Solanum lycopersicum: one gene and its partner. The protein of the gene in region 2 interacts with the protein of the main gene of each other region in a pairwise test. Links are inferred from orthologs where the notes say so. Each region holds a gene or a part of one and is shown on either strand. Other genes may lie near its edges.

Region 1 (3,988 bases), on a different chromosome or scaffold from region 2:
TTGATATTATAAACTACCCCCTTCACGCCAAATATGATATCGGGAGTTCTACGTACTCGAATTCACTATCGAAAAGCCCTACGAACTCCTTAACATCTTAGATAATGAAAAAACTAATCCACACTTAAAAAATTTACTCAATCCTTTCTTGGATTGTCCTAGACTTTACCCCACTCATATTCCATCTGAGATAGCCTAACCTGGAATATTCAAGTCACTACTCCAAAAGTTTTCTTACCCAAATTCTTCACTATTGGTTTACCCATAATGATATGAGAGGTCGTTACAATTTATAAAGCATAATTAATAATGTTTATTTCGTAAGTAGGCGTTTGATCGTGTAACTTCATCTTGTTATTTGAAATCATGAGATGAAATTTCAAATTCTCCAAAAAGATTGATTTGAAAATTTCATATCATTATTTGACATTTTCAAGTTTATATTTTGTAAGAAAAAAACTCAGAGTTTTTAATCAAAACATCCTTAAACTATATTCCCAACTTCACAAAGAACATCCCTCAATTTACACTACTCTCAACAAAAATCCTTAAATCATCCTCAACAAACCAATTTTGTTCATTCTACATGCATCTATAATAAAATATTGTGAATTTTTTTAGCAGCAACGTTTTGCATTATCTTCGTTTTGATTAACAATTTTTTTTTTACTTTTCATTTGTTTTAATATCAAAACACTATTCGTTGAAATGTTTTCTTCTCATTGAATCTGCAAAAATTGATGTCGATTGGAGACTTTTACCTCTAATAATGAAAAACAAAACTCGAGTACTAGAGATCAAAATTAGCTGAATCTTGATTATCTCAACTATGAGTTTGCCACCAAAAAATTATTGATCTAATGTCCATTTGACTTTGTAAGGTGAAGATGGTGTGAAATTATAATTTGAGGATATAGTTAAGTTGATGGTATAGTTTAAGAATGTTTTTAGCTAAAAACTAAAAAAAATCAGAATTTTATATCAACATAATCTTTTGCAAGAGTAACAAAAGAGTGATGAAACATTCCCAAAATATGAACATGATAACATAGTTACTAATGATATTGAACAGCAAAACTGCTCAACAAATTAGATATTCAAACATAACTCCAATTTTATCTCATATAATTTCATATCAATATATAATTACGTACCTGCCAAGTGTACCCTAAATAATGCTCTTATATCTCAATTTATATGTTAATTTTTATATTTCAAAATTCAAATAAAATATTATTACTAGCAAGTAGTAATTTATGGTTGGAGCGCCAAGTAAAATGAACCAAATAAATTGAATTGAGAGCACATAGTAGAAATTTTGTCCGAGGAAGAAGAAATAAGCAGCAATTTGAACTTTGAAGGCCTCTCTCCCTCCTTACTGCGACGATGTTGAAAGTCAGTCGGCTTCTGCACCCCAGGTTCTCTGCTTAAACCCCATCTCTTCCCTTTTGTCACGAAAATAGTAAAAGTTTTTCTCTAAACCCCTGCTTAAACCCTAGCTTTTCTTTACATATGTATAACAGTGTAAGTTACCAAGCTCAAACTTGAATCTCTCTCTCTACTGTTGGATCTGTATAGATGCGAAATGAATACTGATTAATGAAACGAATAGATGCTAAATATAACTTAAAAGCCGATGACTCTAAAAATAGGATATATCGAATGTTTTACATGGAAAATTTGTGGCTTTTCTTATTTATCTTCAAAAAATAGTATCTTGATAAATACTATCGGAGGTGAATGTTGGGTGGGTATGGGGGTTTATGGTGACTTGCACAAGTGGTTTTTTCTATTTTTACTGGTGAAGTTGTTTTCATTATTTTTAAGGTACTTGTATTCATAGAAAAATATTTTTTTCCGAAAATTTTGAACAACCGAACACACCCCATATAAATTGAAGGAAGTTGATCATGCTTAAATTACTATTGAATCTATTAAGACCTCATTCATATGTTATGTTATATGGAGACACAGAGAAAAATAGGTCCATATTTGTAGCAATGCTCACTGTGTAAAATGCATGGTGAGGACATTACACACACCTTTTCATCTGTTGCTCATTCACCAAGAAAATCCGGGATGTCATTTTCAACTATTACTTCTTGATGCTGGATACTCCATAATACTGTTTACAATGTAGGGAAAAAAGAATTACTGCTTGTCATGCAGAGTGTGAATAGAATTTTTTTAAAGTGAAGTTGATAATTTTTGAAAAAGAACCTTCTTAATATGATGTTTTTCTCTAGACACATTAGGAATCAGTTGTTGCATAAAAAATTGTCTGGAGAGGATGTCAAAGGTTCTATCTGGCAGAATGCCATCAACACTTTTGCAGCCTTTTCTACTGTTCGACAGGATGTTGTGGCTGATGGTATGCATTTTATTTTCAGATGTTCGTGAAGTCTCAGTTGTAATCTTGATGCTATAATAATCTTTTTGTCATATTTCTTGATAGCAGGAAAACGGGAAGGTCGAGTGTTTGCTCCCTACTCAGTATTTAAAGGCAAAGCAGCACTTTCTGCTGAACCTAGGCTGCCCACATTTAATAGACTGGATGTACGGTCTTTATTATCTTTTTAAATAGAATTAGAAACTGGAGTTGCCTCTCTTTATGATGTTGAAATGATGCTTCCACTCATCCATTCTTCTTATTACAGTCTGGAGGTGTTAAACTCAATCGTCGAGGTGTCATTATGTTGACATTCTGGCCATCCGTTGGTGAGCGCAAATATGACTGGGAAAAGAGGCAGGTAATGTGCTTATAGCCTTATATGGTTCTCTCTTATTATTGAGTTCCACCAGCATAGTAGGAAACGAGTTTTAGATCTTTATTTGTCCCAGAAAAGCTCTTCGCATCACTATTTTGAGGGATTCTCGCAAGTGTTACAGCTAAATTTTTCTACATTTATGAGATAAAAGAAGAGGGAAACTGTGGCAAGTAACATCCACTGGTGCCTAGCTTGCAAAGACTGGAGATGAGCAGCTATTCCTTTTCATCCTCAATAGTTCCTCCCAATCAACAGACTTCCATTCTTTATAATGAGTGCTGAACAAAATCAATCCGAACTTGCACACATAGACAGATATTAAGATCAGCAGGATATTATTTTCTTGTTTAAGAAGTTCATGCCAGCTTTTATTTCTCTTCAAGGCTTTTAAGTTTTTGTTCTTCTTTGATGGTAAATGAGCAGATTCCCAAGTTTTGACAGAGGATTGATTGTTCATGTTTGGATGCTTAGTACTTGGTCATAGCATGAGCCACCAACTTATAGGTTTATAATATGCTTAAGAGGTGGTCTTTCATAACTAGGTGAAGAAATTGCTTGTATATTTCTTGTTTATGTTATTTTGCTGCTTGGTTTTTCTTTAGAGTTATTAGTATTTTTCTCTTTTAAGTGTCCATTTGGATGTTAAATAAATATCCATCTCTATGTTAGTTTCACCACTCTCTCTTGCTCTTTCTTTTCTTGCACATGTTCACATATCTGATGTACGATTTGACTGACAGATGACTCAACATATTGCAGTTGTTTGCTTTATCAGCAACAGAGGTTGGATCATTGATAAGTATGGGGACCAGAGATTCTTCTGAATTCTTTCATGATCCTTCAATGCTGTCTAGGTTGATTTCTGATGCAGTTGTTGGCTAAGGGCTATCTTTTAGTGTACATGTTTACAGGCACTCATACACACACGCGCGCGTGCACACACACACACACACGTTTTTTTAGTACATGATCCTTGCATCCTACTGATTATTAGTTTCTCTTTATTCTCATCACTGTATAACTAAGCAGAGGTTATATGTTACAGTAATGCTGGTCAAGTTAGAAAGAGTTTGTCAATTAAGCCAAATGCTGATGGGAGTGGTTATTTCGTTTCATTGAGTAAGTATCAGTCTATATGTTCACCTTTTTTAAAATTTTGCTTCCAACCCACAAGATGCATCACAATTTGTTCTGTAATGGTAGCTGTCCATGTTAAGGAT
Region 2 (4,212 bases):
TATTGAAACTGCTTCATCTTCATAAATTTATAAATGAGTACTATTACTTTCTCTCTTTTGATTTGATTCAAGGGTCAAAATGTCTTTTTCACTCTTATATATTATCGTGTGCTAAAATTTTGGGACACCACGACTTACTCTCATTTAATGTCTGCCTATAGATCTGTAAAATTGATAGGCCATTTCTTCCTTTAATTTTGTTTTTTCTTTCCACAATTCTATCTTTTTGTCTTGGGTACTGTTTATTGGAAAAGTTTTCTTATATACGTTCCTTAATATTCACGCACTTTTTTTTTTGAATAAGATCAAGTTCAACATTTATTGGATTATTATACCTTTTTAAAAAAAAAATATAATAATAATTACATAGCCTATCTTATTAGGTTCAACCATGGTATATATAGTTGTTTAGAAGCCACAAATAATACCTCAATTCCATTTACTAAAGATTTTGTTGGTGTCATTTATATAACAAATATTGTTTCTAGTCTCTCTCTTCAAATTTGTAATTATTTTATTTAATTTTTTCGTACTAGATAATATAAAAAAAATTTATGCACTAAGAATTAAGAAAATCAATCATTGAAAATTAATTCAATTAGCCAGAGCTAAGAATAGAAGTCTCGTAATTTTTAATTACTTGTTTAATTTTATTAATTATAAAATGATTTTTTCTTTTTGATTTGTGAAAAAGTTCGAAGAAAATATCAAAGAAAAAGAAGAGGTTATAATGAAATTTCGACAAAACTCCAAAAATAACCATTCAAATTGCTCTAGTACGCGGGGCCCACGCCGGCTCCATCTCCCGCAATTCCATAACCAATCCTTCACCACCATAACTCATCTCAAAACTCATTTTCCCTATAATATAATATAATATAATATAATATCATATCATATCATATCATATCATATCAAATACTTTTCCTTTACGTTATTTCACTACCACTTTCCACTCTCCAATCTAAGCTGAATTTGAGGTAAATTTCTACTCTACTTTGATCTGACAACTCCAACATTTTTTTTATCTGAAAATTTGTCTTTCGATCGAATTTGGTGTTGATTTTCATGGTTTAATGTATATAAACCCTAAGCTTAATTTTTCAAATTCAAGCTCGTCTAATTGCAGCATAGCATATTTCGTTTGGTCATTTTTCTATTCGACACAAAAAACTAAACAAAAGTGGGGAAAATGTGATTGATCACCGATATACATTTAATTAGTATATTTCTGTATTGCTTTGAAGGAATTCTGGATTTGGTTGATTCCTTTTTAAAACTCACAAAAAATTTTGTTGCACTTTACAACAAGAAAACTGAAAAAATACTCATTTGATTATTCATGAACGGTCCATTGCTTTTGTATTGATTGATTTTGTATTTTATTAGCAGTGTGAGAAGATGAGTAATTCCTTAGGGAATAACTTGCTGTACCAGGGATTCCTAACCTCAACTGTATTGGAACATAAAAGTAGAATCACTCCTCCTTGTGTTGGAGGCAATTCTTTATTTCAACAGCAAGTGATCTCGAAATCACCTTTATCAACTGAGTTTCGAGGTAACAGGTTAAGAGTGCAGAAAAACAAAAAAATACCAATGGGAAAGAAGCGTGCTTTTTCTACTTATCCTCATGCTCTACTTACCACTGATACCTCTTCTGAGGTAAATGCCCAACCTACCTATATGACAAGATGTGATTTTTATCTAGTTACAATTCAATCAGCTCCTCAACTGGATAATGTTTTCTCATTTATTAGTACATAGTTATCCCGTTTCTTGAATGTTTTGGTCATCATTTACTGCATATAGGCAGTTCTCTTCCTCTTTCCGATTTCGTCTGCTTGATTGCTTAGAAACCGGCTACTTAGCTTGGTTACACTCTGCATAAATGCGGATGATTCCTATAAGATAACTTGAACTTATCTTGTCCCTTTTTCGTTTCTCTTAATATTTCATTCTTGCATTATATTTGTTGCTGGAGTGGGACTCTCCTTGAAGATCTGTTGCTATGACAGATCCTTGTAAGTTCTAATATGAAATCATAATTGAGAATAGATGTCTAATTTTTCCTTTCAGTACTATCATATCCAATAAAAATAAAACTAGAGTTCGACATAGGAAACAAATACTGAATAGTTTATGTACTATGGGAATGTATAATGAGGTGAAAACAAAAGACAGATGTCATTTATTGGTAAATATGGAGCACAAGACTTGTAACTCAGAATCTTTCTCAAAAGGAAAAAAAAGACTCATAACTCAGCATCCATGACGCCGTGCAAATATCTTTCTAATATTACCTATTTTAAATGTTTTAACAGCTAGCAGAAAAGTTCAGTTTAGAAGGGAATATTGAGCTACAGGTACATATGTGGGACACTACCTTTGCAAAACTAATTTTTTATTAATGACTTTCTTGTAAAAGAGTCAGCCTATATGTCTTATGCTGGCCATACAAATTTTCTTCTGCACTATAACAGGTTGATGTTAGGCCTCCCACTTCAGATGATGCGTCCTTCGTGGATTTTCAAGTTACAAATGGTAGTGATAAACTGTTTTTGCACTGGGGGGCAGTAAAGTTCGGGAAAGAGTAAGTTTAATTACAAATTGAACTGTCATCATTTTGAGAGACTTAAGCTTGTGATGACTAATCATCCTTATATTATTCTCTATATGATTATCTTAGAACATGGTCTCTTCCTAATGATTGTCCGGATGGAACCAAAGTGTACAAGAACAAAGCACTTAGGACTCCATTTGTTAAAGTAAGTTGGAATTGGTTTTGCTGCTCTCATACATGAATGGATTAAGTTATGATGCAAAATTGATGATTTTTGGTTGTTGAAATTTTACTCTTAGTCCGGCTCTAACTCCATCCTGAGACTGGAGATACTGGACACTGCTATCGAAGCTATTGAGTTTCTCATATATGATGAAGCCCGAGATAAATGGTAAATGAGTATCTTTGTGAAGGAACAGCATAGCATTATGGTTAAAGAGCTGCATGGATTTCACCTCTGTTTCTTCTTCAGGATAAAGAATAATGGTGGTAATTTTCGTGTCAAATTATCAAGAAAAGAGATACGAGGTCCAGATGTTTCAGTTCCTGAGGAGCTTGTACAGATCCAATCATATTTGAGGTGGGAAAGGAAGGGAAAACAGAATTACACTCCTGAGAAAGAGAAGGCAAGTAACTTATTCCTTTAGTCCCACACCTTTCTGGGGAAGTCATACTGCAAGTTGTTGGTAGCTAACATCACTGAGTTGATCATTTCAAATTCTCAAGCCTTTATTTTCTATTGACCGAGCATTTTGACATTGGCATATGTTGTAATTCTCAACCCTAGTTCAGGATTTCTATGGAACTTAGCTTGTCAACTATATTTCTGTGCATTCCTATCCATGAACACAAACAACCATTTAATCTTTGTTGATGTTATTTGCATGCTTTCTCAGAATATATCAACTGGTTGTTTGGTTCATGGATAGGAAGCCATAGGTGATAGGACTATTATTGCTCCCTGTTGCAGATACTGTTACTAAGGAGTCAAGGCATTGCTTTCTGATTTGCATTTTGCCCATGCTAAATACGGTGGGGTTGGTTTTAGGGAAAATTTTGTACAAGACTAGTGGTGGCTCAAGTTTACCATAAAATTGTTGTTTTAATTTTAAAAATTCTAGTCTTAGAGTCAACAATTAGGCTTTAAATTTTAATCAAGTACAATCAGTAAGCCAACTTTGACATGAAATCAAGTCTAAAGTCTATGAATGAGTATGACCAGTTCTTTTTTTTTTGTTTTCTTTTTTTAAGGTAAGAAAGGCTAGATTATTATCCAGTGTGGATGCATATAATTACAGAATGTGTAGTTAGTCTGTTAATAGCCAGGAAGTAGGAACCAGTAAAATAAAACAAAAAGTCTGTATCATCTATATAAGTAAACTACACCATAAAGCAGCAAGTTGTAAAGTAGATTATCTCAAATTGTTTGATGAATTTCTCCCAACATAAAGATATCCAATGTTTCTCTTCGTCCAGGTGACCAAAAAATATGAAGAGGTCTCATATTCCATATACTGATGTTGCTTCTTTTTCTTCCCTCCATTTCCAATTGAACAAGAATAGTTTCAGAGATTTTGCCATCACCCAAGACCCAAAATAGGGTCAATGACATGTATTGAGTTGCTAGAGCACAAAGCTAATGCAACAATAAA

The links. The genes of interacting proteins can lie anywhere in the genome.
Region 1: the proteins of GWD (region 2) and mtDNA-binding protein WHIRLY2-like interact in binary tests that used the Arabidopsis thaliana proteins (3 or more experiments, as listed by UniProt). The link is inferred for Solanum lycopersicum from reciprocal best matches to the Arabidopsis thaliana genes SEX1 and ATWHY2.

Annotation. Positions count from the first base shown.
Region 1 is NC_090810.1:38,043,472-38,047,459, forward strand, and holds the start of mtDNA-binding protein WHIRLY2-like, read left to right. Parts: upstream 1-1,174; 5' UTR 1,175-1,386; coding exon 1,387-1,418; intron 1,419-2,246; coding exon 2,247-2,371; intron 2,372-2,455; coding exon of another isoform or gene 2,456-2,458; coding exon 2,459-2,556; intron 2,557-2,657; coding exon 2,658-2,750; intron 2,751-3,527; coding exon 3,528-3,622; intron 3,623-3,813; coding exon 3,814-3,887; intron 3,888-3,988. UniProt on the Arabidopsis thaliana protein: Single-stranded DNA-binding protein that associates with mitochondrial DNA and may play a role in the regulation of the gene expression machinery. Also seems to be required to prevent break-induced DNA rearrangements in the mitochondrial genome.
Region 2 is NC_090804.1:305,259-309,470, reverse strand, and holds the start of GWD (glucan water dikinase), read left to right. Parts: upstream 1-1,401; coding exon 1,402-1,662; intron 1,663-2,321; coding exon 2,322-2,363; intron 2,364-2,480; coding exon 2,481-2,590; intron 2,591-2,686; coding exon 2,687-2,765; intron 2,766-2,859; coding exon 2,860-2,951; intron 2,952-3,032; coding exon 3,033-3,186; intron 3,187-4,212. UniProt on the Arabidopsis thaliana protein: Mediates the incorporation of phosphate into starch-like alpha-glucan, mostly at the C-6 position of glucose units. Acts as an overall regulator of starch mobilization.